Rhinolophus ferrumequinum: one gene and its partners. The protein of the gene in region 3 purifies or fractionates together with the protein of the main gene of each other region. This does not show direct contact. Links are inferred from orthologs where the notes say so. Each region holds a gene or a part of one and is shown on either strand. Other genes may lie near its edges. The genes, in order: KPNA1, STAT3, PTPN2 and KPNA6.

The links.
Region 1: the proteins of PTPN2 (region 3) and KPNA1 purify together in Homo sapiens (affinity purification with mass spectrometry; 3 studies listed by BioGRID and IntAct, with this or other methods). This does not show direct contact. The link is inferred for Rhinolophus ferrumequinum from reciprocal best matches to the Homo sapiens genes PTPN2 and KPNA1.
Region 2: the proteins of PTPN2 (region 3) and STAT3 purify together in Homo sapiens (affinity purification with western blotting; 7 studies listed by BioGRID). This does not show direct contact. The link is inferred for Rhinolophus ferrumequinum from reciprocal best matches to the Homo sapiens genes PTPN2 and STAT3.
Region 4: the proteins of PTPN2 (region 3) and KPNA6 purify together in Homo sapiens (affinity purification with mass spectrometry; 3 studies listed by BioGRID and IntAct, with this or other methods). This does not show direct contact. The link is inferred for Rhinolophus ferrumequinum from reciprocal best matches to the Homo sapiens genes PTPN2 and KPNA6.

What each region holds. Positions count from the first base shown.
Region 1 is NC_046285.1:47,276,062-47,283,343, forward strand, and holds the start of KPNA1 (importin subunit alpha-5), read right to left. Parts: upstream 3,014-7,282; 5' UTR 2,817-3,013; intron 1-2,816. UniProt on the Homo sapiens protein: Functions in nuclear protein import as an adapter protein for nuclear receptor KPNB1. Binds specifically and directly to substrates containing either a simple or bipartite NLS motif.
Region 2 is NC_046304.1:38,168,578-38,176,511, forward strand, and holds the start of STAT3 (signal transducer and activator of transcription 3), read right to left. Parts: upstream 3,006-7,934; 5' UTR 2,720-3,005; intron 2,232-2,719; exon of another isoform or gene 2,211-2,231; intron 1-2,210. UniProt on the Homo sapiens protein: Signal transducer and transcription activator that mediates cellular responses to interleukins, KITLG/SCF, LEP and other growth factors. Once activated, recruits coactivators, such as NCOA1 or MED1, to the promoter region of the target gene.
Region 3 is NC_046302.1:5,383,290-5,391,202, forward strand, and holds the start of PTPN2 (tyrosine-protein phosphatase non-receptor type 2), read left to right. Parts: upstream 1-4,904; 5' UTR 4,905-5,081; coding exon 5,082-5,150; intron 5,151-7,913. UniProt on the Homo sapiens protein: Non-receptor type tyrosine-specific phosphatase that dephosphorylates receptor protein tyrosine kinases including INSR, EGFR, CSF1R, PDGFR.
Region 4 is NC_046292.1:22,040,763-22,048,046, reverse strand, and holds the start of KPNA6 (importin subunit alpha-7), read right to left. Parts: upstream 3,005-7,284; 5' UTR 2,979-3,004; coding exon 2,861-2,978; intron 2,538-2,860; exon of another isoform or gene 2,399-2,537; intron 1-2,398. Other genes in the region: TMEM39B (transmembrane protein 39B), read right to left, coding at 6,396-6,638. UniProt on the Homo sapiens protein: Functions in nuclear protein import as an adapter protein for nuclear receptor KPNB1. Binds specifically and directly to substrates containing either a simple or bipartite NLS motif.

The DNA of each region.
Region 1 (7,282 bases), on a different chromosome or scaffold from region 3:
GCTTTCAAGAACTGTCCCAATTAGTCTACTACACTAGGTCAGAACCATTTTATCACTTAGGTCAGTTTTGTAGAGTTGGAACATCTTTAAATAAAACAAAACGAAATAAAACTGTACTGTTCCATCAGTCTTCATCCCTGCTCTTTCACTGCAGGGCCTCAAACTTTTCTAATGCAGGCTCTATTTGGCCCCTCAGTGGCCTAGGGCCACCTTCTGCTTACTGCAGCAAGAATACAAATCAGCCACAACAGCTAATTGAATTGTTCACCATTTACAATGTTTTCTTCCATAATTATGGCTGAATTCATAATACCCTGCAAAGTACAGAAATCTTAAAACAAAGATAGTAACGGAATTATCTTTATCACTAGATCAGTCATCTTTACATACATGGACCAAAGTCTTAACTGATTTTATACAAAAGTCTTAATTGATTTTATACAAAGTATTCATATATACTTCTAAAAACAATCTGACAGAGATAAAATACAAACATCATAAATCATCAAGACTTCATCATTAATTCAACAAACACTATGCCTAAAACATTGTAAATTAAAATAAGATATAATCCCTACTTTCAAATAAAAGGGAAAATATAAAAACAAAATTGATAGCAACAGGGAACAAAGAAAATAATCCAGGAAACAACACAGAGCAATTCCAGACTATCTGGTATAATTGTAACATAGTTAAGGCTAAGGAAAATTATAAAAATTGGACACATCTCTGACTCTCCTCACAGCCAAAGTGTAAAGAGAAACACCAACACCTACAAAACACAAACAATGTAATAAAAGCAGCCGTTTGTTTTTTGTTTGGTTTTTTTTTTAAAAGGCTCATCACTGGGGTCTTAAAAAAACTGTCTCAAAGTCTCTACTCTGTAAGAATAAATAAAAAAAATTAGAAACAGTGTCTTGGATGGCAATGAAGAGTTTCATGTTGCCTTTTCTTATGTATCAATCCTAGATAGAAGTCAAGATACATAATATTAAATCATAGCTTTGTGAAGAAACTTCCATGAGGACATAAAATAACATAATGCAAATATACTGACTTCAGATGAGGCATTTAGTTCTATCATGTAGTTTATTCTAGGTTTTTATAAATGTATGTTTTGGTTCCCTACTACTGTAAACTCAAGGCTTATGTTACCTGATTCTATTTGAACTTCCTTTGCTATTTAGGAGAGTTGTTTACAGTTTCTGCTCAACTATAATGACAAATGAAGTGTTATGCAGTGTTTACATTCGTTATTTGTTAGTCTTCCCCTCTACACTATAAATTATATGAGGACAGGAAGAGTGTCTTAACCATGTCTTGTATCCCCAGTGTTGGGGCACATGATCACTCCATAAGTATTAGCTGAATGAATGGGTTAAATAAAGAAAACACAACCAAGAGGTACGAAAGGAGATAAATAATTTTTTAAAAGTGGCAGTAACTTTGGGTTCTAAGGCTGGTTCCAACAAGAGCTGGATGACCTTAGGTAAGTTCTATTTCTGCAATCGTCCAAGTTTTCATCTGTAGAACAGGAAAAATTAATATCTACTTCAGAGTTACTGTAAGCATTAAATGTTTTAATATAAAGTATTTAGCACAAAACTTGGAAAGGAACTCAATGAATGTTAATTCCTTTACTTTTGCTCATGTCCCCCAACTTAAAATCAGGTATTACACATAAAAGCGCCCCTTCCAATAATAAATTATTACAGTAAAAATACAAGAGAGTTCATTTTCACTTTTCTTTGAAAAGTTCAAATTTCATCTCTTCAATCTTTAAAATGGAGGGGGAATAACCTGTGGATTACTTTCAAAATATCACAAATACAAGAACAAGTTGAGGAAAAAACAATGTCAAGAATGACTCTTAAAGCAACAAGAGGGAGCAAAAACATCCTTCATCGGCTAGAAACAAGTTTTGAAGAAACTGTTTTATTAAAGAAAAAAGTAATATTATTTAATATGTTTCAGAAGAATCCTGCAAAATTGTTTACTTTTAATTTAAACCTTAAAAATCAATTCTTGTGAAATCTTTCACTTACAAGTGGGATGTTAAATGCTTTCATTCAAACCTTAAACATTCCTTCATGACGACTGCCCTGACTCCAGCCATCCTCCAGTTTCCTTGTCTCTAATACTTCGCTGTTTCCCTCGAATCACCACTTACACACGCAATGTGCAGACTGAGTTCTGTCATTCCTATAATTACCACACCCCTGTCAGCCGCTTCAGGCCCATGTTGTTATGACATCTGTAAACTGCAGTCGTTACGTCTCCACCCCCGCCTCCACCTCCCTCCAAACCACCGGCTCCGGCTCCGGCTGTAACTTGTGAATTCCCAGACCGTCCCATCCAGCCTGGCTTAGGATTTTCGCACGTCCCCCATCCCTGCTCTTTCCTGCCTCAGTCACAGCACTCTGCGCTGCGCACCCCGTCCCCCACCCGCTCGCTCGGGGCCACAGCGCAGGCTCCGCGCTCGCCTCCTCTCCGCCCCGCTGCCTCGGCGCCCCGCAGTCACCGCCGCCGCTTCCAGCACCGCCGCCGCCCCGCCTCGACCGGCGTTCCCGATGGCGATCACATCAGCGCTCCCCCCCCCCGCCGCCCGCCCCAGTCACTCCGCCGGCCGCGCGGCCGTTAGGACAGCCGGGCCAGTGACGCACCGACGCGCCGCGAGCGCCCGGGCCCAGGAACCCGAGCTCGAACACGGCCGGCGCCCTCCCACGCCCCGGGACCTCTCCCGGGTCCCGCCGAGGACTGCCGGATCCGCCGGCGGGAGGGGGAGGGGCCGGGGCCGCAGGGGTCCCCGCACTCACCAGGCTAACGGCGGGCGATCCCCGTGCCACTGCTGTGGTGAGCCGCTTGCTCGCTCGCCGGCCGCAGTACCCCTCGCGCACACAACCTCGAAGAGCCGGCGAGATCCTTGGCCGTGCTCACCAGGCCTCGCGATCCGCCGCCGCGCAACCAGCAGCAAGACCTAGCTCAGCCGGCGTTCGCAGTGCGTCTGCGCACGGGGGCCGGCCCTCGCGCCTGCGCGCGCCCCTTCGCTGCCCTGATACAGAGGCTGCCGGGAGATGTAGTCTTTCAACCTTCTTTCGGTGGAACCTCTCTCCGTTATCCCAACCAGCTGAAGAGTGGGAGGTCGAGGAGAAGGTCTCGCTGAGGAGGTTCGGAGTCAATTGTAAAGGTTGTAGAGTTGTGGTGGGTGGAGTGACCATTAAACGGTACTTCTTAGGTTGAATTACGAAGTTAAAGCTATAAAACCTGTCGTCGAAGCTCTTCCAGGGCGGATCGATCCCTTGCTCATCTCTATCTGTATCTAGCTTCCGGTAATGCCGTTAGTACCTAATATATTTTTCTTTTCTTTTCTATGGCTGGCAACAATGATAGCCATCTTTTAGGCATTTGTTTAAGTAAACTATCTCCTTCCATTTGTATAAAGTCAAAAATTTCATTAAATTCTTCCGTACATTTTGAGGACGCTGAAATTGACCAAACACTTTCATTATGAAAACCTCCGTATCACAGGTAAGCAAACCACACCCTTCTTTTAACAGTGTTCTGTATAAGGTGTTTGTTTAGCAGATGACACCCTTTCATTTTCTTTGGTAAGAAGTTTAGACTGGATAGAACTTGTCAAAATTAACATTCGCACTGAAAGCAGATAAATGAGTCAATTCTACTTTGTCTTTGGACAAGATGTAACACCCTTTGGTTTATGTGTTGTGGTTTCATTAAAATCTTAATAGACATCTTGAAGACAATTTGAAACTTCACTTTTCAAGTCAAATTACCTTTAGAGCTAGAGGGAACATGTTTTTGAATCAGGAAATGTAACCTCTCTCACTTCCGTAGATCAATCCAAGGCATGATACAATAATGCATATTGGTTCATGTGACATGCCCAAGATAATTCAGCCATTATTTTCAACTGAGCATGGGTGTCTCTTGAGGAAACTAAAAAACTTTTGAATTTAAAGTACTGTCTGTCTCATTCCAGAGTTGTAAACTGATTTACAGGGGCTTTCACATCCCCTCTCCACCATGCCCAATCCAAAATACTTCTCTACGTATTGTGCAGTGTGTTCTGTTTTTTCCTTCCTAATCTAGTTATATTGTCCTTCCATCTCTCATTAACATTACACAGTCATTTATATTTCTTTTTCAATGATGTTTGGGTCATGCTGTTGTTGGTATTATAATCATTCTCATTCTCATTATCTTACCTCTTATAAGGCATGGTTACCGTATTCATGATGCTAAAAAATTCAGTTTATACGAAGCACAACGATTAATCCACAGGCAAAGCCAAAGATGGACTGCTAATGCTTACGACTGCAGTGCACTTAAATTGCACACTTAGGTCACCTCCCTCAGAACGCTACAACAATTATCATAATTGTGAAATGCAACTCAGGGTTATCAACATCAATGGTCGGGGACAAAAACAATGATGGTGACTATAGATAGAAGTCAATCTATGGTGTGTCCATTCGACATTAAAAGCAGTGTTGCTTTCAGCCCCTATTTTGAGGGGGCAGTCATGGATTTTGTACTTTTCCCCTAATCTCCCACACCCATTACAAGAAGACCAAGATTTTTGGCGTGAGTGCTGGGAAGGCTGCCCAGGATGTGAGAATTTTGGTGCTAAATCCCAGAAGGTCGGGCAAATCAGGATGGCTGGTCACTCTTTCCCACCTGTACTGGCCAGATGGATCCTCTTCATCTAGCCAGTATAGCCATTCCCTTACCTGCTGTGAGTGCTGGCTGATAACTGTCAGCTGCCCCCTTCTCTGAATTGCAGACCCCAAAGGAGCCAGCTTTCTAGAAGGCTCCCACTCCCATCCCCAAGGACAGGTGTAGTCCAGTAATTGACAGAGTTCAAAGGGACAACCCTTGCTACAGAATGGGACTTACTCTAATGGTACAATTTGTGCTCTAGAACTTCCCCCTGGAATCAGACTGAAGCTTTCCCCTAACCCCATATTCCCTGAGAGTGCTTCCTCAATAAGTCACTTATTGAGAAGAGTGGCTCAAGAGTGAACAAGAATCCCCATCTCAGGCTCTGCTTCTAGGGAACCCAAACTAGGACATGATCCAAATTTGTTTTCCATTTCCTTAACCTGTTGTCCAAAACCACTTATTGAGGTTGGTCCATTGTTTTCCCAGTGATCTGCAATTTTACCTCTGTCATTCATATAAATACACATATTCAGGGCTCTATATTGAGAAAAGTATACATATAGATAGTTACATGACACTCAGAAAAATGAAAAGATCCAGTGAGCAAAACTGCAAGCATAAAATAGCAGTTTTGACCTGAACGTGAAAACTTGAATAAGAAATCAATTGTATTTTTTATCACATAAATTCTGACTTTTAAATGGTACTTAGCTTCTCATTGCAAATATTTGCAGGAAATTTTGAAATGTACCATAAATATATTGACACCATAAAACCTGCAATGTGAAAATGTGCATCATAAATATCACAGAATATTTATGTATATTTATATAATTTATATAGTATATATAATATGTAAACAAGATATATATGTATCTTGAATATACATAGTTATCAACTTTATTTTATATATATTCAATATATAGAGTTACGTATCTATTTTGAGATATATACATTCAAGATACCTATATTCTCAAATTTCCACATTAGCGCAGGTCTGTTTTGGAGGTTTCTATTTTACTCAGCTTTTTTTGGTCTATCCCTGCACCAATAACACATCTGAATTACTGTAGTTGTATAAGTCATGATATGTTATAGATCAAATCACCTTCACTTTGTTATTATTCTCTAAAATTGCCTTTGCTTTTCTTTGGCCTTTTTATTAAATATAAATTTTATAATAACTCCATCAATTTCTATGAAGAAAATCTGGCATGATTTTGATTGAAATTTCATTGAATTGATATGATTAATTTTTGAAGAATAGCCATCTCTATTATATTGTCTTCCTCTGGATGAGGAGATAGTATACCTCTCCATTTATTTAGGTCTTCTTTAATGCCTTTCAGTGATGTTTTGTAATTTTTTTCATGAAGTTTTTATACGTCTTTTGTTAAATTTATGTCTAGTTACCTTATTTTTTTTTTTGCTGTTGCTATTGTAATGGTAAAAAATGTCACATTTACTGTTTCTCATGCATAGGAATGAAATTGATTTATGTGTAACTTCCATGTAGAACCTTGGAGAATGCTTTTATTAATTCTAATAACTTGTCTTCAGATTTTCTTGGATTTTTCTATAGACAGTCATATATCCTGTGATTAATGACATTTTCATTTCTCTATTTTCAGTCTTTTTTTTTTGGTTTGTTCTTCTTTTACTGTCTTTGACAGAAGCTCTAATTCATTTGCTAAATTTAAGTGGAATAGGAAGCATCCTTTGTCTCATCCTGATTTTGTAGGGAATCGTTCTAATGTTTTAACATAAAATATGATGTTTGCTCTAAGTTTTTGGTACAGAATCTTTTATAAATTGTTTATCAAATAACTTTTCTCTATATATATGGAAATGAGCATACCATTTAATATGTAGTTGAACAACAACTGCTTGAATTGCGCAGTCCACTTATGTGCAGACTTTCTTTTTTCAATAAATACCTGTTCTGTTTTCCATACGCAGCTGGGAGTCCGCGGATGCAGAGGGTGAACTGTGTACATTGATCTATGACATTTTATATAGGGGACTTCAGCATCCCAGGATTTTGGTATCCGTGGGGGTCCTGGAACCTACCTCCACCATGGTTACCGAGGGACAACTTAAGTCTTTGGGGAGTTAGAAATTATATGCTGATTTTTGACTGTGCGGAGGTTGCCACCCCTCCTAAATCTCATGTTGTTCAAGAGTTGGCTGTAACTACATGGTGATTTACATTAATAGATTTTTCTAAAGTTAAGTTATCCTTGAATTTCTGAGATAAACCCAAATTGACCATGATTTATTTATATAGAGATAAATTATATTTAATATTTTGATTAGGATTTGTGCATCTATGTGTATTTACATAAATGAATGTCTATTGTTTTTCCTGTTGTATTTTATGTCTGTATTTTATACTGTTGTCTATCTTTGGTATCAAGGTTGAACTAGCCCTGAAAATTTTGGGGGGAGTATTCCTTCTATGTCTGTTCTCTAGAAGATTTAATATAAGATTGGAATTATCTGTTCTTTGAAGATTTGGTAGAACTCACTAGAGAAATAATTTTAACCTGTTGAATTTACTTGTTTAATTGATAGGTAAGTTTTCAATTACTAATTCAAC
Region 2 (7,934 bases), on a different chromosome or scaffold from region 3:
GTCAAAACTGAAAATCCTTGGTCTTGCATTCAGGACCTCTTAGAAGTAGGCACTCCTTCTCTCCTACTTACCTTCCTAATCTACCAGGATTTTGTTTGTGCTATACCACCAAAACTCCTCACCCCTAATTCTTTATACCTATCAAATTCCAACCATTACTTGGGACCCAGATGAAATTTCTCCTTTGGCAAGACGACTTCCTAGATAATTCCAGGTCTCGTGACCTCTCGTTCCTCTAAAACCTGTAGCGCTTAGTGCAGCACTCTCCAAAATAACTTTCCACGATAATGGATATATTCCATGCCTGTGCTATATGTTTTCATTTTTCTTTTAATATACAATAGAGATCATAGGCTTAATGTCTCATCATCTCTTTGAGGACACGTTGCATTGTATGGATAAAACATTTATCAAGTCACCTCAGTAGACTGCAAGTTCTGTCAACAAGGCATCTTATCTTCACAGCAACTTTCACTAAGTTGCAAAAAGTAAATATTTGTACACCACCTCTGAGAAAACTATAAGGTGAAAATGTGCTAGACTGTGTCTGGAATAGTCACTACCTCTGCCTCATCTCACATCTGAATGTCAAGACAGGCACAGGCAGGGAGGAGAAAGCAACTTTCTGGAGACATAAATGACCACTGATCAAGCCACAAGGCACTTTGGTTTAAATAACATTTAGGCCACGACTGTCCATCTACAAACTTGCCTAAATAAATATTTCTTTCCATTAGCAAATAGCTAAATTCTGATGGTAAATGATGTGACTAAAAAGTTAGTTACTTCCCAAGTTAAACAGCACAGTTAGATAGAAAAATAACCTAAGCGAACCCTATTTGTACTTTTTTTCTCCTGTTTATTACGTATCTCCTATGGGGTAGGACAGCCTATTGGTGGTATTTCACTGTCCAGATATATGTTAGAATTTCACTGACAGCTTTCCCAACAGGGACTACACTCACTCTAAATCAAGACCAAATATTTAAGCATAGATAGTCAAAAGAGCACAAAATGTACAGGTGTGAGTTCCACCACTATGACAAGTATCTTGTTTCTTTGCCTCAATTTTCTTACCCACAAAATAGGATTAATGTTACAGGAACTATCTATGCCTTGTGGGTCAAGTCATAACTGTGGATATTTCTAAATGATTATTCTTCCCAAAAGAACTACATATAAAACTAAAAGATTAATAAATTTGCTATAGTTCTTTGTGGAAGGTGTGCTAACAAATTATAGACTAAGATCAACCCTCCAACATCTTCTACAATTTTTCTGTATTTCACGTTTCTTTCCCCCATCCCACTATGCAAATATCTGAGCAAAAATTCTGCTAGTACTCCAGCAGATTCTGCTAGTACTCTGGCACATGTAATAAGGAAATAAATGTATTGATTCAGGGAACACAGATGTTTAATATAAAATAAAATATAAAATTGACTGAATCAAGTCATAACACAATCTAAATCCACATCTAAAAGACTGAGATGATTCACTATTCTGATTTATTCAAACCAATGCTTTATCAGCACAACTAGCCAAAAAGTTACAACCCATTTACAGAATATACCCTTTAGATACACACAATAAAAACCAGCAGACACACATTATGTACATTTTTAATAAGAAGAAGTGTTGTCAACACCATACACCCACTTGATATAAACACAGAGGGATGTGTACTAAACATGGAAAAAGCAACTTGAGTAACAGTATGAATTCTGCTAACTTAAGACCAACCACACACCCCAAACACAGGTAAAGTTTGCACACATGGCTTCACCAAGGCCAGCCTGTCTTTGTTTCCCTCTCCTCTGCATTTACCCAAGATCTTGGCTCTGAGACAGAAAACTCCCACTCTCGATTGGTGCATTCTGCCCTATGCAATTAAGCAACACCACAACCCAGTAAACGGAAGGTCTCAATTATTTATCTTCTGGCCGAGTTTACCAGGTGTTTATAAAAGAACAATGTCAAGGAGAAAAGAGGTTTATTTCTCTCTAGAGCTGGCTTGATTGGGGGGGGGGGTATTTTGTTTTAGAAGGGGGCGGAGGGAAGCAGGGCTTAACGTTGTAAAAGACGGGAGGGAATTTAGAAAGAGTGCACAAGACTGCCAATTTCCCTACAGGAAACTTGATTCTTATGCAATAATCCTACCCACAACCAACCAGCTCGTGAGACGGTAGGGGGAAGACACCTATTCTTACCTCCAGAGGGGCAAAGCTGGCTCCTAAAGGAGCGAGAACACCGCAAGGCCGAGGAAGTGGCTGGGGGGGAAGGCTCTTTTCAACCCCCCCCACCTCCCCGTGATCTCCGCCGGCGTGACAGTCGCTCCTGTGGCCAGAACGTCCCCGGAGCCCCAGAGAGCAGGAAGTCGGGGGGCTGTCCCTCATTCCTGCCACCCCCACCCTAGAGTGCTCTTGTCCCACGGTCCTCCCCCTCGAACCCATTCTCTCTTCCTCGGCGCCTCCCCCTTCTCTGAAGAACGAAACTTCCTTCCAGCGCCCCCTGTCCCTTCAGAGGCCCGCTCCTGTCATCCCTAGGAGTTGTCCCTTCAGAGCGACTCTCCGTGTCTCTTTGTATCCTCCTGCCCCACTGAAGTTTCGATCCACAACTCCCCCAAACACCCCAGTCACTCCGGTCACTCCGGTGCCCCCGGGGTCCCCAGGCCTAGGAGCCGTAGGGGGAGAACGGCCCCACCCTTCACCCCCTTCACCTGTTTCTCCGGCTGAGGCCCGACAGGCCGGGGTGCGCTTGCGCCGGGATGCGAGCCGCGGGGCTCCCTCGGTCCACTGGGTCTCTCCTGGCAGACGCTGAGAGAGCGCGCCGTGCGGGGGTGCTAGCCAAGGATCGGTTCGGGCTCACTCCCTCCGCCGCGAAGTCGGAACCCCAGGCTCTCCCAGTCTACGCCGCCGCAGCTCCGGAAATCTCTGAATTACAGCCCCTCCAGCCAATCCCCGCCCATCCCCAGATTGGCCGCGACACGCCGTTCTGCATAATTCATGAGACGGCCAGTTTTCTCAGCCACCCAGAGGCCCTGGTGCATGTACGTACATCCGAAGCCCCACCCACTGACCAATGAGGACAGCTTCTGGAAGGAAGGGCGGGTCACACAAGGCTGGGAACGCCCCTTGATGGCTGTTCCGAAGGCTTAGTGCTCCTCCCTCCACTACAGCAGGGGAATTGCCAAGGACTCGGGCACAGAAGCTCAGGGGGAGGGAGGGAAGATGACCGGAATGTCCTGCTAAAAACTCAGCTGAGTTCCTGGCAGTGCGTGACGTCAAGACACTTTAAATGCCCCTGATGCGGCTCTCATCTGCTTGCTCTCCCTTTTCCCGGCCCTTGACACCACGTGGCGGCGAGGTTGGGAGTCACTAACCACGTGGGAATCAGCCAGTTAGACAGTCCTAAAATATCGCCAGGTCCTCGGGGCCCAACACCTCAACTGGGTTTCTGGAGACAGCAAAAAGAACATGGGTGACTCCCGCCAGCTTTGAACTGCAGTTTCTGCGTGAGACGGGACACACACACCCGGAAATATGACGTGGAAATAGAGTAATTACTAGAGTGCGTGGGGAGAGGGTAGTGGATTTAACCCTGTTCTCGGTTGCGTCGCTTTAAGCATCAAACGCCACTGTTCGCACATTGGCCAGTTCACGAGAATGCAGAAGACAGTACATATGAAGATTGACACGTATACATATTTTTATGCTTCTGAGTTGAAATTGCCTGCCTTTTTTTCGCCTACTCTGCTTGAGCGCGAACCCAAGTTTTACTGCATTGAAGCCAGTAGTTTATAGAAAATGTAGATATTTTTTTACCTTACATGATAGAGGATGTACTTTGCATGATGGAGTAATTTGTGTGTGCGTGTGCGCGCGCTGATACTATCAGGTGTTTTTTCTTTTTAATAACAGCTATTGTTTTTGTGTTTGTTGTGAGTGTTTAATACAAAGGGGTATAAAGATGAAATCTTAAAAGGGCCTAATTATGTTACCACTCAGATAACCCCTGATGACAGTTATTTTCAATGAAACTAACACATATTCGTGGTTAGAAAATTCAAACGGTTCAGAAAAGTTGAAAATTAAAAATGAAAATTTCCCTCCTTCCCCCACCAGTATTTCTCCCCAAGGATAGCTATTCTTATTAATTTCTGGTGAGAAAAATCAATGACTCTTAACCTGTGGTGGGAGAGGGTCACAGATCTTTCTGGACTCTGTTGGATTCTCGCCCTAGAAATATACAGTATACACTTTTACCCACAAATTCTCACGGTTCCCCAGATAACTGAAGCCCAGTCAAAGACCAGATTTGGACCTTTCTACCACCTTATTTATATCCAAGTGAGAGGTGATCCACCTCACCTAAACTCTGCTTTAGCTGTATTATCCCATGCAGTTGACAGCCTCCCTAATAACATAGGGTCTAACATTTCTTTAGTTATTTACTGCTTACAAAGTACTTGCACACTCGTTACCTCTTTTCTTTCTCACAATAATTATGTGTAGCAGATAGGAGAGGCCATATTATTTATTGATAGGAAACTAAGGCCAAAATAGTATGACAATCTCAGGTCAGGAGCTACTCAGAGGTATACCAGAGCCAGGTTTTTGAGCTTCACATCTCATGACTTTGTTCCATCTACTAATACCCTGCCCTCTTCTCCTGCCTTCTCAGCAGCTGGCTTTTGTTTCCCTCATACAGAAAATCTACCCCTGAGCCTATCTGTTCCACCTACAAAACCTCTCTCCAGCCCCGCCACTGGCCTTTCTCCACACTCTGCCAATCCCCCTGCGCTTACAGATGGCAGTTTCTTTCACTTGAGCCAATGCTTTGACCTGAACTCCCCTTTCCAGCCTCATCCCCTCCATCCCACAAACCTTACCCTCCCACACTGAATTCATCACCTTCCTCCAAACATGTCAGCACCTCTGTAGCTTCATGCCATTAAAGATCTCCCTTCCACCTAAAATATCTTCTCTTTCCCCATTTCCTACCTGAAAAACTCTTATTCATTCTTCAAAGCTCAGTTCCTATATTTCTTCCTCTGGGCTTTCTGAGATTCTTCCTGTCAAAGTTAATCTCTTCTGCTGGGCTCCCTTAGCAGGTTGTTTCCCTATTCTAGTTTCCCTATCCACCTCAGCCCCATTTATTAGCCTACTTCCTGGTAAATAAAATTAATGATTAACATTTATTAAGTAATTACTATGTTCCAGGAATTGAGCTAAGGTTTTTACATAGATGATCTCATTTGATCCTCAAGAATCTAGTGAGGTAGGGCACTATTATAATTCTTTTTTTCAACTGAAGAAACTATGGCTGAGAAAATGAAAGACTGGTCCAAGGTCCCATAGCCAGAAACTAAAGGTAAACTCAGAATGAGAATCCAGTCTGGCTGACTCCAAAGCCTGGCCTCTCTGCCTACATAGTTGAAAGCATGTGACATCTAGCCCAGAACTCACCTAAGCCTGATTTAATTGAATAGTAATAAACATGTATTGAACACTCATATGGGCAATAGCTAACACGTATGGAGTATTTATTGTGTACTAGCCAGTACTCTAAGTATGTATTATATAGCACATGTATTAACTCATTTAATCCTTATAATAACCCCATGCGGAGGATACTGTGATTTTACAAATGAAGAAAATGAGGCTTACCCAATGTTAAGTGACTTCCCCACATATATATACCTGGTAAAAATGGCAGAGTCAAGATTCAAATCCAAGTGTCTACTTTGAAAGCCTGAATAACTGCTCTTCCTTGACCATATCTCCAGGCCTAACCTTCCTCTTGGATCCTCAAGGAAGGGTCTAAAGGAGGGGAAAAGATGAGGCCCCCATTCTCCACCCATCAAGTGAATAAGGCAGAGTGCAGAAGCCTTGCAAGTTTGTGGTGGTTTATAAACATGTCCGCAAATTATCTGACACTTCTCCCATCTAAAGATAAAGTCTAGCTCCATTCCCTTGGCGACTTGCTTCTAATACATAGAATATAGTGGAAATGATGCTGTCTGACTTCTGAGATTAGGTCATAAAAGGTGATACAGCTTCCACCTGACTCTCTCCTGGTACACTCACCCTTGGAACTCAGCCGCCATGTTGTGAGGAAGCCCAGGCTCCACGTGGAGGCCACACAAAGGTGTTCTGGCCAAGAGTCCAGCTAAGACCCAGCTGATAGGAACCATCAACTGTGAATGAGCCAGACTCCAGCTGATTCCAGCCCCCAACATTCAAACCATGCCGATGGAGGCCAAATGGAACAGAGAAGAGCCTTTTTTTAAAAAAAACTTTTATTCATTTTAATGTGTTTTTCCAGGACCCATCAGCTCCAATTCAAGTAATTGTTTCAATCTAGTTGGGGAGGGCACAGCTCACACTGGCCCATGCAGAGATCAAACCAGCAATGTTGATATTATTAGCATCATGCTCTAACCAACTCAGCTAACCGGCCACCCCAAGAGAAGAGACTTTTTTGCTGAACCTTACCCAGATTACAAATTCATGAGCAAAATAAATGTTGTCGTTGCTTTAAGCCACTAAGATTTGGGGTGGTTTGTTACACATCAATATGTAGTCAGGATAGGTTTCCATTTATTACCTCAGAGAGACTCAGAGGAACTATAGGCTAGATCAGGAATTGAGACTTACCGGGCTTTGTAAAATTCTAGAAATGTTTTATTTAGTTCCTCTTCCCTGGAGGAATTAGTACTAAAACTCTAAATCAAGAAAAAGACATGGGAAGAAAGAGAAGATTTGGAGAAGAACATTGGAGGCGGTAAATAGGTGGCAATCACTGCAGTGACCAAAAGGGGCAACGGGCAACTTGTGTGGGTGATGGGACCCCCACGGGGCGCAGCAACAGAAAGGTTCATTCACACAGGGTTGCCCAACTCCCCCTCACTAAAATCACAGAGGAGCAGATCTGTGCAACACGAACTCCTTGAATCTCTACTTTCGTTGTGCAAAAACACTTCTCAGGCATCATCATGTAAGCATCTCCCTTTCCTCCTGTCTGAAGAACAGTCCTCCCTACTCAATATTTTCAACACTAAGCTCTTTTCCGGCTTAAAATATCATTCATACGATGTCATTCTGTCCCGTCAGTGGCTTCCCATGAGGCTTAGGATACAGGAATTCTTCTTTTTTTTTAATCCCCTTCAGTACCTGCTTACCCACCCACCAACCCCCCACACCTCTATTCTGCCCACTAAATTCCAATCAGTCCATTTCCCACCTCAGGGCTTTTGCACACGCCATACTTTTTCTTTCTCCAGCTTTCACATGACTAGTTTCTTCTCACCCTTCTGGTGTCACCTGCTCAGAGAGTCCTTGTCTAACTACTGTCACCTAAAGTTGCTCCCAGCCCCTTAATCTCTATATATGCTGTTTCCTCTGGAATTCTTATTATATTTCTCATTTATCTGTTTACAGTTTCTTCTCTTTCTTCCTCGTTATACTGTCAGTTCCAAAAAATGGTCCTTGCCTGTTTGGTGCTCCTTTGTCTCCCCAGTGCCCAGGAAACAGGCACTAAATAAATACTTATTGAATGAATGGAAGTTCTCTTGGTCCTACCTGTCCCCTCTCTGAGCTTTATCAATTCTTCTCTCCCTCCTGACCTTCCCCACTTATTTCCTCCCTTCTGGCTCCTAAGATACTCCCTCCTTTCTATCTTGACCCTCAAGTTACGCCCTTCTTTCCCATCATGGTGCTCATGCCCTCACTTTCACTAGCTTTACCAGGGTGCCTTCTGCTCTCTTCTCTCCACAGCACAGTGCCCTTGAAGACCATCAGAGACCTCCTCCTTCTCAAAGCTGATGTCTTATTCTCAGTCATTTTACGTATCTTTGCTCTAGGATCTGGTACTGATGATCAACTGCCCTCCTTACCCCTAGACTTTCTTCCCTTGACCATCACAGCGATTAA
Region 3 (7,913 bases):
GATATGTGTGTTGCGATACATTAGCCACTAGCTATATGTGGCTATTGAACATTTAAAATGTGACTTGTGTCATCATCAGAAACTTCCAAACCCATAGAGAACTTTCATGAGTTTATTTGAACCAAACTGATGGCATGCCAGGAAGGAAGATCTTGAATGCTCTGGAGAATGACAGTATTGCAGTTTCTTTTATACATTCGGTATTAAGGAGGGAACTAAGGAAGATTACTTGTGGACAATATTATGTGCTCTTTTGAGAGTGGTGTAGGGGTTCAGAACGAGCCACCCCAAGATGTGCCTCAGTGGTATGTGGATTGTTTTGAGCTAAAGGAAATTTTAGCTTCAGTCTCGAGAAATTTCTGCCCCTCCCTTTAATTACCTAGAAAAACTTGAATTAGGGGGTCTTCTCCATAATAAGAGATTATCAGCAATAACTTTTCTTACCCTCCCTCCATCTGGCAGGGAAAACTTTTATTTACTAAACATTTGTTCTTCTTATAATCCTGCATTGACCCTTTGAAGCTTCTAAGGTGCGTTACCTCATTCCTGGATCAGGATGTCTTATATGCCTCAAACCTCCTTTCTATCTCTGAAGCTCTCATGCAAGTGCGGTCTCCGTCTTTCTCATGTATGTGGGGTTCCTGTATATATGTATGTATTAAATTTGGTTATTTTCTCTTGCTAAGCTGTCTCATGTCTATTTGATTATTAGACCAGCCAGAAGAACTTTGAGGGTAAAGGAAAGTTTGTTCCTCCCCCACAGTGGCTATGCCTTTGAGGGTCTGAAAAAAGAGGATTAGTGTGGATTTCAAAGGTGTGTTAACCTAGATGCACAAGAACAGTGGACAGGGCTTGCTTAAGGCAAAGATAAACCTTTTTATAGGCCCGGGACATGACTAACCACCAGGACCTGCCCAGTTAGGAATTTTATAATTAGATCACCTTGTGAGGTTACTTTCAGTCAGATTTATTACAGAACCCCTTTTTTTGTTCACACCAGTGCAACTAAGCAACTAAAATTTTAATTTGTTAAAGAAAAAAATATTCATGATGCTTGTTGAGGATGAGGTGAGGGAGACTTTATCCACGAGTGGAGGGGAACTATTGTTATGGTAGGTATAGGGACCATTGCAATGAGTCTTCTAGTGGAAGTGAGATCGGGCTTGTTAAAAAACAAAATTTAACAAAATGGTGTCACTTGTGCCAAAGCCCAAGATACCAAACCCAGATTTAATACCTGACCTAATTGCTATTTCAACTGTTACCGGAGAGTTGGCCTTCCTTGGCGCAGTGTCCAGGTTCTTGGCATCTCGAGCAAAGAACTGAATGAGATACCGAGGTAAAGTAGTAAAAAAGCAGTTTATTAGAAGAGATAGTACACTCCGAGGAAATGGGAGCAGACCCGAGGAGTAGAGAATGGCTCAAGGGCACAAGGTGGCATTATTAGGAGAAAAAGTACACTCCAAAGGATTTGGAGCAGGCTGAGCAAAAGAAGAGGCTCAAAGGCCCAAAGGCTCAAAGGCCCGAAGGTGGCATTATTAGGAGAAAATTATACTCCAAAGGGTTGGGAGCAGGCCCCAAGCAAAGGCAAAGCTCAAGAGGCTCAAAAAAGAAAAAAGGGCCTGACTGGGGAGGACTTGAAGTTTTTATTCTTTTTTGTCTAAACTGGGCTGCTCTTCCCACCCCTGCGTGGGACCACTTGATTGACACCTGTGATTGACAAGAGGCTATTATTACCTCATCTTTTTAGACTGTGCATGTTCTTTCCCAGAACTCAGTCTGTTATAATGAACTTCCAGGCGTATGTATGGTATAATGATAGTATAATGAAGCCAAGGTGAAATGAAGGTCATTGTGGCCTTTACTGCGCAGGTGCAAATGACTGGTCTAATCTAGTTGGGTATTTTGTACCCATTTGTTCCTCATAGGGGTAGATAATTACAATGAAAAGGGGAAGTTTTGGACAGAGACTGGAGGTCTTCTGGGCAGTCGCAGCCTGTGGGTTGTGTTGGACAGGCAGGAATGCAGAATCCCAATGTCTGTCTCTAACTGCCTGCCTTGTTTTCCCCTTGAGAGAAGTGATCCCCATAAAATAAATCTCTATGGGAAGTTGAGGAACAGGGAGTCTTTTCTTTTGTATCCACTCCCTGCTGGGCAGGGGTGTAGAACTGTCCCTACCTATTGGGGAATTCACGGAACTCTCGCCCTATCTGATCTTAGATGTGAGGAAGGGGTCTTGAGTCCGTCTGGAAGACCGGTTGGCTTCTCTGGTTGTGGCTGGCAATCTTGCTGGGGTATCCTCTGTATCCCCATGGCCCCTAAATGAAGAAAAGTAGATTTTAATTAATAAATCCATTAGCTCTATAGAGCCTGTGGCCATTCAACCACTCATTCAGGTGGTGTCAGTTGTCCAGGAGCTGGGCCCAGAATGTGCTGGAAAGAACATTAGGCTTCAATGATTACAATCAATAAGTATACTGGCCTGGAGGAATGTTAAAACCTATTTGGTCTCTGGGATGGAGTTATCCAAGAGTTAGGTACAGAATGGCTTGGGGAATGTTGAGAAGGAAGCAGGGGTTTTCTAGGATTCAGAAACTGACTGGAAGAGTAATCAAAACCAGGAGCTAAGGAGCTATGAAACTACATACGTATAGGGAAAAGGAGACTTAAAATTTCTATAGTGAGGGAGCTCTCCCATATCACAGCCTCTTCCGGAAACATAATCAGAGCTTGGAATTTTCTGGTCAGTACCAATGAGGTAATCTGTCAAGTGAACCCTCTCCATCCCTACACCCCAGAAAGAAGAGGCAATCTGCATGATAAAAATTTTCACCTTTCCCTTCATCCAGGAAAAAGATATCCTGGAGTGAAAATAATTCTTTCTTTTCTTTTAATAGCTCCCTTGCTCTAATTTCCTTTCTAAAAAACCTTCCATTTTGTACAACCCCTCAGAGAACCTTTCTAATTGCTAGATGGGATCCTGCCCAATTCATTAATTGTTTAATAAAGCCAATTTAGATCTTCAGATTTACTTAATTTTTAACAAATCCTTCACATTTCTTAAGGAGATATTATTGTGGGGACAGAGCCAGGAGTACAGTTTCCAGGCTCTCGGCCTCACATAGAAAGGTGCTGGCTCAGGTAGTAAACGGCCATCAACTGTGATTGGATGGCCATCAGCTGTGGCTAGTTGGCCGTCAGCTGTAACCAGTGATCCATTGGCCACTAATATAACTGCTGTGGCTACGCTAGCAGCAAATGGGGCTAGCAAGAAGATGGTGGCTGAGCTAGCAAGCGCGGATTGCAGTTAGCAAGTGAGGTTGGTTGGTTGGCAGAAAAGTGGACAGAAGGTTGCAGATCGTGTGGATCCTGTTTCCTGTGTCTGCAACCCAGCTGCCAGCAAGACTATAGTGGTATGACTCCCCTATCTATGGCTCCGTGGGTGTTCCTTTTTGGCCTCACCATATCTTGCGTTCTTATGTGGGGAGCGGGACCAGAGACCCTGCATGACACATGGCGCAGTGAGCAGGGTACGGTGCCGACCAAAGCTCTCCAAAGGGCAGTGGAGCAGTTTGTGTATATGAACACTCAGTCTCAGGAAGATCAGGAGGAGCAGCTGCTGGAGAGCTGGACCCCTGTGGAGGGATGGGAAGACGTGGATGGTTCTCTGACCAGCATTGGCTGGAGAAAGCAAAGGTCGTTGTGGCCCTGTGAGCTGGGAAGTGCTTGCTGAGGCCCTCACCCCCAGGTTGGGGAGGACTTGGAGACCTTGCCCTGCGGAGAGGTGTTGTGAGGCCAATGCGCAGCCCTGGGAATGACTATGGACTATTGGGAATTACCTTCCATCCCTGATTTGATGGACTGCTTGACTGTTTGCTTGGGAATGTACCACCCTGTAGTGGAACCAGTGGATGTTTGTGTGGGGACAGAGCCAGGAGTGCAGTTTCCAGGCTCTCGGCCTCACATAGAAAGGTGCTGGCTCAGGTAGTAAATGGCCATCAACTGTGATTGGATGGCCATCAGCTGTGGCTAGTTGGCCGTCAGCTGTAACCAGTGAGCCATTGGGCACCAATATAACTGCCAGGGCTACACTAGCAGCAAATGAAGGGCTAGCAAGAAGATGGTGGCTGAGCTAGCAAGCGCGGATTGCAGTTCGGACGGCGGGTTGCGGACAGTGTGGCTCCTGCTTCCTGTGTCTTCAACCCAGCCACCAGCAAGAATATAGTGGTATGACTCCTCCCCTATCTATGGCTCCGTGGGTGTTCCTTTTCGGCCTAGCCGTATCCTGCGCTTTTATGTGGGGAGTGGGACCAGAGACCCCGCATGACACCCTGCATGACAATTATAAACACGAGTTCACCAACAATGAATTATCTTAATCTGAAGTGAGATGATTTCTGTAACCAGTGCGTTTGTTTGGTAAACGGTGATACGCTCTTTTTACATTTTTAAATTGTATAACCTTTACTTAAGCTGTATTCTCCCTAATTCCAGGATAGGTTGCCTCTCCTTTTGTTATAGTGATGTGTCACAAAACCCCCAGGCATTAAGTAGCTGGCATCAGGGCTGGTTTACATTCTCTGAAAAGGCTAAGAAATTTGTTCTAAAGTTGGACACAGCCGCTTAACTGACCTAACTGATGTTTAAAATAAAATAACGGGAAAGCAAAAAGGAAGAAGGTTTTTAGGGTACTTTCTTGGCCTGCTCCATCCATGTGAACCTGGTATACTCCACACCCTCCCCGGGGCCATTTCTCTCGAGTCCAGCGAGCGGGCCAACTCCTGCCCAAGGATCTGAGACTACCGCCTCCAGGGTGATCTCCTTGGCTCCGCCCCTACCCACCTGGGCGCCCTCTGAACCACTCCTCCCGCGAGCGCCCCGCCCCGCCACCGGACCCTGTGACACGCCATTCGACGCGCTGACGTCATACGCTCCAGGTACTTTCCCCGCAGTCAGTCGGACTTGGCGTGGAGGCGGGGCGGGGCGCGGAGCGCGCATGCGCCGCAGCGCCAGCACGCTCCCCTGATCGTGCGGGGGCCTGAGCCTCTCCGCCGGCACAGGCTCCGCTCGCTCCAGCGGCCATGTCGACCACCGCCGAGCGGGAATTTGAGGAGCTGGATGCCCAGAATCGTTGGCAGCAGTTGTACTTGGTGAGTTGAGGGCTTGCGCGACAGCCGCCGTACTTCGCGGTGGACCCGGGCTCGCGCCCCCCAGTTCCCTTTAGCCTCCCCCGCCTCCCGCTCAGGGCGGAAGTGGCGGCGCGCAGGCCGCGTCAGGGCTGCGCCTGCGCCGACCGAATCTCTGGTCCCTTTTGAAAAAAAGACTTTAGATGGGGGGGTTCGGGGTGTGGAAGGGGGTGCCTATCTTAAGCGCAAGCGCAGTGTTAGTTCTGGAATGTGGCGCTACAGCGGCGCCTTGTGGCGGGCGTAGTTCTGTCTCTCTGTCCGCGGGCGTGGGGGGCGGGGAACTCGAGTGGCCAAAAGGCGGGTGGGTGAGGGGACCGGTGAGGCCCGCAGGCGATCGCGGGAAGTGGTGAAATCGCAGGGGACCGTGGAGAGGGGCGAGGTCGGTGAGGCATTGGGGTCTCGCAGAGCCGGGCAGCTGCGGCCTCACGCTTGCTTTCCCGCCCCTGTGCCTGTCTTTGCCCGCGGACACTTTTTTTAGCAGGCTGGGTGTTTCGTGGCGGAGCAGGCAGAGGCCGGCCGTGACACCCATTGCCGAAGGTGCTGCCAGCTCTTGCCTTGGTGGTTGTGGGTGGTACCTGGGCCTCTCGAAATGGTAGTGCCTAAACCGTAGTGCTGGCGAGAGCTCTTGGCGGATCAACAGTCTTGTTTCAGAGAGCCCAGTGTCTCAGCGTGTGGGTTGTCTTCCTCAAAGAGGTCCCAGGAACAAGCACCACCTAAATCAAAATAACCTTTCTGTCACCCCAGAAGGTGCTGTCATCCCCCCTCTCCGCCCTATAGGCCACCACGGTCCTGGTTTTTTATCACCGTAAAATAAACTTGCCTTGTTCTCGAACTCATGTAAATGGACTCATAGTTGAACTCTTGGTGACTAGCTTCTTTAGCTCAACTAGAGAACCTTTTAATTCAAACAATTTGATTTTATCTTTTAAAATGACTTAATTGCCTGTTCCCTACTGTTTAATTATTAGCTTATTATTCCCAAAATTGAATTGAGTGGCTGTGAGTTAAATGCTGCTCCTGCTGTTCGCTTCACTGTACAGGAAAAGAAGGAAAAATAAAGGCTTTCCTGTAAATCTCGATGGGCCTGGGTTTTCCCCCATACCGTTTAATTAGATGAAAGTAAAAAAATGTTTTCTTTGTCATGATGCTCAGAATGTAACATTTTCCTCTTGAACCCATTAGCTGGTAGTGAATACCTGGTTCACAGGGGTACAGAGTATGTTAGACTAGGGAACTAACTTTAAAGAATGCTGGTAAGGACTTTTCCAATTATAGAAAATTTGAACTGGAAGTTCTATTAGGAATCTATGTGAGAGCCTGCTAGCTGTGACATTTCCAGTGGTTTTTTTTTTTTTTTTTTTTTTTTTTAGCAGAGGCTACTGTCCAAGTTGCTAGTCATATGTACAAAATACAGATTTGAGAAGAGAAAGGTGAATGCTGCCAGTTAATTCAGCTTAACATTTTGGTTAAGCGGTTTGATTTTGTGGTGTGTGTGGGTGGGGGGGATAGTATCCTTGAAAATTCAATGAAAACTGTAATCTTTTTCATAAAAAAATGCACTTACAGCCACTGAAAATTTCATATTTAGTTTCAGGGAGTTCAGGAAACCCTTCCATGGACTCCTGCCTGGGAATCCTTTAGAGGATTGGTCAATGCTCTTATTATTTTCTTCTTAATGGAAGAACAAGAGTATTAGTTTGGTCAGGTCAGGGGAGATCATGCAATACACATTAGTGTTACAGTAAAAGTAGGTCACAAACGAAGAAAGTTAGTAATGGAAAGCAGACTTACAAAGAGTTTAATTAAGAGTGTTTTCTTTTGACTTTAGAGTATCCATATAGCCATTTTACCAATACATGCTGAGCACCCGTGGAGTGCTAGCCCCTGCTCTGGGTTTTGGAGATTCAGCAGAGAATGCTAGTGACAAAGTTCCTGTTCTTTAGGACCTCACATTCTAGGACTTGTTCTCTTGAGGGCTTCATTGCAATTCATTCATTCACTCATAATGCATCTGTTATGTGCCAGCGTTAGACTGAGTTCCTGCTTTCAAGGATACAGCCTAGTGGGGAGTAGTAAATAGGTAAGCAGATGAAAGTGTAAAAGTAATAAGTGCAATAGCTAGTGTTAAGCAGAGGGTGCTTTATTTTCCCCAAAGGGGTGCACTGGGAGTTCTGGTGAAGCAAGTGTACGCTGCTCTTTTAAGAATCCCAACTTGATGGGATTGAGTGGGGAAAGGTGGCTAAAATGAAGCACGACTATGTGACTTCTCTACTTTCCCATTGCTGGTAATATAAGTTTTAAACATCTCCTATGGCTCACAACACCACAGGTCCTGCCTTCCTGTATTTCTTCTCTCTTTTCCACTAGGTTCTGTTCCTTTAAATGTACATGTCTGTTCTTCCCTTAGGCCTTTATAAATGTAATTCTCTACATTATCACAACTTTTCCCCTTTTGCTTAACTGCCTCCTATTCATCCCTGAAGTCTCACTTCCTTAGGGGGTGCTTTCCTGACGCTCCCATACAGAGTATGACGTCTCCCCCCATATATTTCTGTAGCATCCCATGACTTCCCTTTTCGTAGCAGTGCATTAAGTCTAATGTAGCAGTAGATTTTATTTAGGGAACACAATTTGCGTTTCGCAAACTACTTTTTGCTTGAGTAGGGGAAAAGTGTTTAAGTGGCCTTTCTGCTTTGTATAGCACAACAGTGGGTGATACTTACGATA
Region 4 (7,284 bases), on a different chromosome or scaffold from region 3:
TTGGTGATACCTGAATTAAAACATAAGCTGGCAAAAAATAATAAAACTTGGCAAATCTCTCTTAAATAAGGAAGGCTTTTTCAGAAGTCACCCAGGCTTCCCTTCACATCTCATTAGCCAGAACTGTATCACATGCCCATGCCCAAATCAATCACTGCCCAGGGAGACAGAATTACAATGATTTGGTTTAGAGTTTATATTAATCAAGACCTAGCCCCTGGGGCTGGGAAGGGGCTGCCCGATTCTTGATTAGCAAGGTGGCAGGGATGGTGATAAAACCACCAGTGTCTGCCAAGACTTAGTTTTGAGAGGCGGTGGTCTCTGCCGGGGAGGGTTAGCATAAGTAACTTCCAGAGCTGCAAAGATTACTTCCACGGGGTTCCTAATGGCAGTGAAATCATTATAAAGGTCTGTCAAGGCTAGTGAAGTCTGGCACAGGAGAAATAGCACAGGATATAGGCCAGAGCTCAAGGAGAGTACACCTGAGACACAGTGAAATACAGCAGGTTCTAGATTCATGTAGATGTGGTGCAGGCCGTGTTAGTGTCCCCAGGATCCAAAGGGCCTAGATCACCAGCCTTGGACTAGTCACCCAATCTCAAAGCCTCAGTTTACTCATTTAAAAATGAGGATAACCCAAACTACCTCGGATTCACTGTCAGGTTTAAATGTATCCTTACACTAGTTTCACTCCCATGGTATAAAGATCAGCTAAAAACAAAAAACAACAAAACCACCAATAGCTGGACATTTAGAATGACAGGGTGAGATGTGAAAGGTACTTGAATTGGAGCTGGAGAAAAAGGGAGGCCACCCCACTCTAGACTAAAAATCCCCATCAGGACCCAGGTCAGGTTTTGTTGCTCCACTTAAGAACTTTCATTTCAAAGTCTACCAGAAAAAGACTACTTTACTTCACACCTTAAGTCTTCCAAGAGGTTTATGTGCAGCAAAATGGTTAAGAATCTCATTTCTGACTTTACTGTTTACTAGGTGTTATCTTCTCTGAGGTAGTTTCCCAATCTGTAAAAACTGAGTAAACTGTACCAGATTTATTTCACTGAACTCAACAAACTAAATATTAGTAGCTCCCTCCCTTTGAGGTACCAGTGTTCTTGAAATTGAAGGCCAGTGTAAAATCTGTAACATAAAAGCCCTAAACTTTTTCACTGATACATAAAGCTGCAATTACAAAGACAGACCTGTAAGTCTTAATGGAAGATTCTGGAAACCAGAGTACTTAAGAGAAAGGAACTAACATTATTGAAGGTAAACAATCTGGTCTGATATTTATAGAACCCTAACCCTAACCTTCCAACACTGTGTTATCTTTAGTCCTCAAACACCTTGATAACACTGCCCTTCCCTCTTTCTAGAGATGAGGGCATGGAAGGCTCAGAAAGGAAGAAAAAGAACGAACACTTGTCGTGGTTGTGCTTTCCATATGTATTACTGCATTTATCTAAGTGACTTCTCTGGATGAGAGCTAGGAAGTGCCAGACAGGTTTATAATACCAGATCTGATTCTACAATCATTGCTTTGCTGTTCAAGGGAATAATTAATATTTCCTCAGAATCAGGATCTTACAAAACTCAATTCCAGGGTATCGTTTAGCTCCTCCTCCGCCCCCCCCCCCCACAAACAACAGTTGGGGTTAGCAATTCAATCTGCAGTTTTCCAGTTTTGTTCAGACTGAAGACTTCAAAGTGGGCCCACCAGCAAAAAAAAAAACACCAAAAAGCAAAAAAACCCACCACCTTTACAACTTCGCCTAGGGTTAAAAGCTTTCTTCCCCCCTTTTCCAGCCCAACCACTAGGGGGCCAGGCTATAAACTAGGGCTTTAGAGTGATCACCCAGGTTTAGGCACTGTGTGACCTTGGGTACATTACCTTACCTCTCTAAGTCTCAGTTTCCTTATCTGTAAAATACGGATAACAGTATCTGTCTCATTAGGCGGCTCATATTAAGTAAAACGGAACATGTAAAGCACTCAGAACAATGTCTGCACATAAGAGCTTAGCAAATTTGATATTTTTTATTGCTGGAGAGGAAATACCACTAATGTTTCTGCCCCTAAATCCAAAGACTTCTCCATTGCATTCTTCCCTAACACAAGCCTGGCCAGCCGGAGTCCCTTCAGAAAGAGCAAGCAACAGGTCTCTCCTTTTCTCCCAACCAGGGCCAGACCCAGAAACCTTAAATCCCCGACCTATATACGGCCACAATGTCTGGGCCTTTGGTTTTCCACCACTATGAAGGCCGTCACTCTAAACCTAACCGAACCACCCTATTTTTGCTTTGGCTGGGGAAGTTCTAGCCTTCAGCGGCCCAGGCTGTCTTTAGCATGGCTGCCCTTGGTTACGGGCCTGGAGCTGGCTTGCCTGGCGTCCCCTCACCAGAGGACTCTAAGCGCGACGTGGGTAGGATTTCCCTCAGTTCAGGGGAGCCACTGCATCCAGTCAAGATGCGCGTCGGTCAAACACACGCCTGGATGAGGATCCCGTGGCGCCGCCCGGGCCTGCGGCGGGGAGCCCGTTTCCCGGCCGCAGTCTCGGCGCAGGCCGGAGGGTCGGCCCCTTTCTAGCCCCGGGGAACGCTTGGGCTCTGGCCCAGGGACACCACGTGGGGGCTCCAGGCGTGGCGACGTGTTCCCAGAACCAGCCCCCAAGGACTGCTCCCCGCATGGGCCCTAGCCCGGCCCCAAACTGGCCTAAGCGCCACTCCCGGCCTGGCTTCTCCCCCAAACCTATTTGGAGGGGACTCAGACATCCTCTGAAAACTGGAGACAGGCTGTCGCCAGACCCAAGCCTCAAGACGGCCTCAACTCGAATCCCCAGATGCCTGGTTCCCTTACTCACCCATCGCGGCTCCGCTCCTACTTGGCGGCGGCAGCGGCGGCAGCTTCAGCGGCAGCTTCAGCAGACAATATGGCGGACCTGCAAGACGGCAGCCCGAAACGGACAAACAACTTAACATTCAACCCCGGGAAGAAATGCGCTCTCAGCTCCACAGCCTAGTTTACACAGAGGAACGCTCTTAAAGAGACCGCAGCTAAAAAGGCGGGGAATAGGGGTGGGATCTAAAAGGGATGGGTGGAGAGAGACTTGGGTGGGGAGGAAGGAAAGGGATTACCTACTAAAGAAAGTGTGCCTAATTCTCAGCGTTTTCTGCCTCTAGTGAGGAAATAGACTAGAAACGTTTTCTCTCAGAAAGCAATCCTTACTTTTGTAATTAATGCCAATCATAGACCCAGCTGGATATGTATAAGGAATTATCTGAAGAGGGGAAGTGACTTGCTCAAGGATACAGAGATAAGGAAATAAGTCAGGAGTAAACGGGCTTACAGTTTTATTGGAAGATGAAAAGTAGAAAAATAATAAGACTGCTGCAGTGCTTTATAGTTCACAGAGCTATTTCGTTTATCCTCACAGCAAGCTCTCTGGGAGCAGGGATTGGTGTTGTATTTGTTCATCACTATCTCCAGCACCTAGTACAGTGTCTGGCACATAGTATGTGCTCCATAAATAATTGTTGAATGAATAAACAAAACGAACAGGCCTGTGAGTTACACGAAGCATGGGAAATGATCTCCCTTCTGAGTTGAAGAAATTGAAGCTCCGAGTGTTCATGTATCTTTTGAATTACGGAATTTATGCTGGCACCTATTTGGCCTCTTTTTGTATGACAGGCCAGTTCTCCTGTCCCCCACTTCCACACACAGAGGAAGGCTGTATCTTCAAGTCACTGGTCCCAAGAGGGAGCTGTCTTTTGGAAGCAGAATAAGGGACCTGGACTTCCAGATCCTGTCACAATAAATTGCGAACTCTAGTCATGTGCCTGGTCCATTAATGGAAACAACTCAAAATTCAGGGTCAAAAAGGAAGCACTATCTTTCTCTTTCTACTGCCCCTGTTCAACGTCAGACCTCTTCATCCTCTCCCGATCTATTTTGCCTGCATCCTCACCGGTTTCCTGCCTCTAGGCTCTCCCACTCATACCCATTATCTCTTTAAAAGGAGATACCTTATCATGCACTCCTCTGTTTAGCAACTTCCTACTCTCTGCCCTTAGGTAATGCCCAAACATTTCAATCTGACACAGGCTGATCCTTACTGGCTTCTTGGGCTACTCCCCACAAGGCAACCCAGGCTCCATCCATATTTGGGGAATCATGGAATCATTTCCTCCCATGGTCTTTTGTGCCTTTGCATGTGCTGTTCCCTCTGCTTGGAATGTAATGCCCTCCGTTCCCCCTTGACCGTGGGGTGAACTATTCACTTTCCAGACCGTTTCTCACTTCCTTGAAACAGCCTGTCTTTCCGGACAGAGTTAGGGGTATCTCTCATTTTTGCAACCCAGTGACCTGGACACACATTTTGCTCAGCAGTTAGCATCCTAATTTGCTTATAAGATATGTCTCTCTCTCAAGGTTGTCTATGGCAGAGATACCCCGTTCCCTGAAAATAAGAAAGACCTAGTTGTACAATCAGCTCTAATGCATCTTTTGGAGCAAAAAGTAATATAAGACCAGGTATTATATTATATCTTAGAGAGACCTGGTCTTATAGTCTTATAGTAAAATAAGACTGGGTCTTATATTAATTTTTGCTCCAAAAGACGCATTAGAGCTGATTGTCCGGCTAGGTCTTATTTTTGGGGAAACATGGTAGTATGTATTGTGGACAAAAAAAAGGGGCACTGTAATAAATCTGAGCAAAAGTAATCTCACAGGATGACCTGATCATAAATTCCTAACTGGGCAGGTCATGGTGGGTAGTCAAGCTCCAAGCATACAACTTTTTTAGTAAAAGGTTCATCTTTGCCTTAAGCAAGCCCTGTCCATTATTTTTGTGCATCTAGGTTAACACACCTTTGAAACACCAGAGTAATCCTCTTTTTCAGACCCCTCGGAGGCATAACCGCCCTCAAGGGAGCACTAATCTTAGCTATCCTGTACCCTGCTTTCTCCCCCCTTCATGTAATCTTCTGTTCCCTTCTTAATTCCAAATGCAGAAGAGAAACTGCAAAAGTGCCATTCTCCAGAGCATTTGAGATCTTGCTTTCCAGCACTATCATCAGTTTTGGCTCAAATAAACTCATAAAAATTCTCTACAGGTTTAGACTTTCTTTCGTTGATATTATTCCTCATCTTTCTACCTGTCCCACTAGCACAATGCCTGCCTCAACAGAAGCACCAAACACATTTGTGGATTGTCTGTCCCGCATACACCCTGTGGACTCACCTGCATATCCTGTGGCCAAAAAAAATGGCTCAGGGAACACAGGTAGACTAGATGAGTGGCTGTAACTGTGTTTCCTCTCCCACCCCTGCTATGCCCATAGGAGCCAGGTGGCCCTCCAAGCAGCTTTGTATCCACTCTAGCCCTTGGCCTTGCTCACAAACCCTCCCTTGTCTAGAGCTATTGGTCCTCTCTGATGCAGACCTTTCCAGCTCCACCCTGCCTCGCCCCACTTTCCTTATCCATCCTGCTCTAGGAACCACATTCTGCTTACTCTTCCCTTCCAAAAGACACCAAGATATTCCAAAACTCCGTGCTACTCACTGCATGTGTCCTTTTCCCTGAAGTGCCTTTTCCCTCTTGTCCACCTAGGAAGTGGCTGATACAACTCAGGCTATCTCCTCCAAGAAGTCAAGAGCATTAAACATTCTTTCCCTTTTGCTACTCTGTACAGGGTAACTGTTACACCCATCTCAGTGTAGTAGGACTTGTTTCTGTCTTGGCTTTCTCACCATCTACCTCAAAGCCTGGCACAGAGCAGGGTCTCAGGAACTGCATGCTGAATCAGGACATCACATCCTGCCAGGATAGTAGTGTCGTCTTTTGGAGGGTTTTTTGACCCAGCTCTACGTCCTAGCTGTTAACTTGGGCAAGTCACTATAGCTCTGAGCCCATTCTTCATCTATAGACTAGGATTGTCACAAAAGCTGGATTAAGACAAGGCCTGTCACACACATAGAATCGCATCTGGTACGCAGTGAGCATTCAGCTAGAAGCAGCTAGCACTGCGACCACGACCTTGGGTGTCTCCTCTCCTCTCCATTGAAGAAGGCAGAGCCCACAGTGGCCCCACAAGCCACACATGAGGCTTCCTGGCCCAGAATCCCACACCTCTGCGCTCTGATAGGCAAGAAGAAGGGAAAGAAATACAAGACACAAACTTATTGGGAGTAAAAAAATAGGATTTTTTTTCCTCATAATCACATCAATTATCAAAGAAAGAAACAGTATGTAACAAAAATACAAAGCTCTGGTGGATTTTTTTTGTCTTTTTTTGTTTTGTTTTTGCCCCTCACTCAACCCTCCCCAACAGCCCCTTCCCCAGGAACTCCCGGCTGCAGCCTGGATGTTGTCCCCAGGGTCGCCCCAGGGCTCAGGAGAACCGGTGGTCCAGGTCCCTCTGCGGGCTGGCCGAGTACGAGTAAGCCTTGCCCAATACCAGGCGGTCCCGCAGCAGTTTGAAGAAGGCATAGTAGTTGCTGAAGAGAATGAGTGCCAGCGAGATGGTCTGGTACCACTTTTCAGACGACATTAAGGAGTACAGCTGGTAGACAATGACAGCGCCCTCCAGCAGCAGCAGGATGTTAAGGATCCGCAGGGGTTTGCTGAAAAAGAACTGCCCAGGAAAGAGTAGGCACAGGCTGGAAAGTTGGCTCCTGAAACCTGCCTCGTGGATAGGCTAGGTGGGCCACTGAAGGGGACAAGCTCTTGGGGCCCCAAGGAGATTTGGGTGGGGAGAAAGACTTCAGAGGGTCAGGCATGGACTTTGCCACCCCTCTGCCTTTGCTTGTGGTGTTCCTTCTGTCAAGACTACCGCTTTCCACATAAGTTAAGATCTTGTTCAACCTCCACCTCCTTCAGGAAGCTTTTCTTGAGAGGTCTTGCCTGCTCTCAAACCTTTTCCAGTCTAAAATCAACATCTTTTTCTACATGATCTTCTTGGGTACTGTAATGCCTGAACAAATTAGCATCTTATGATATAGGCATGGAAGGTTATTGTAGAATCTACAGCCTGAGCACCTACCACTTCATGTGTAGCATCGCCAGCTAGGCCAGAAGCTTCCAGGGGACATGGCGACACTTCACTCTTACCTGGTGTTTACAGGGCAACGTAGAGTGTAGGGACTCAATAAAAGTTTTCTGATCAGTTCAAAGAATGCAGGGGCCAAGGTACTGATACCTCAAGAGCTGCTTACAGGATGGGAGAAGTGGCAGGAAATGGGAGTCCTGCATGTCAGGCTCAGCTCTGCACCTGACAGGCT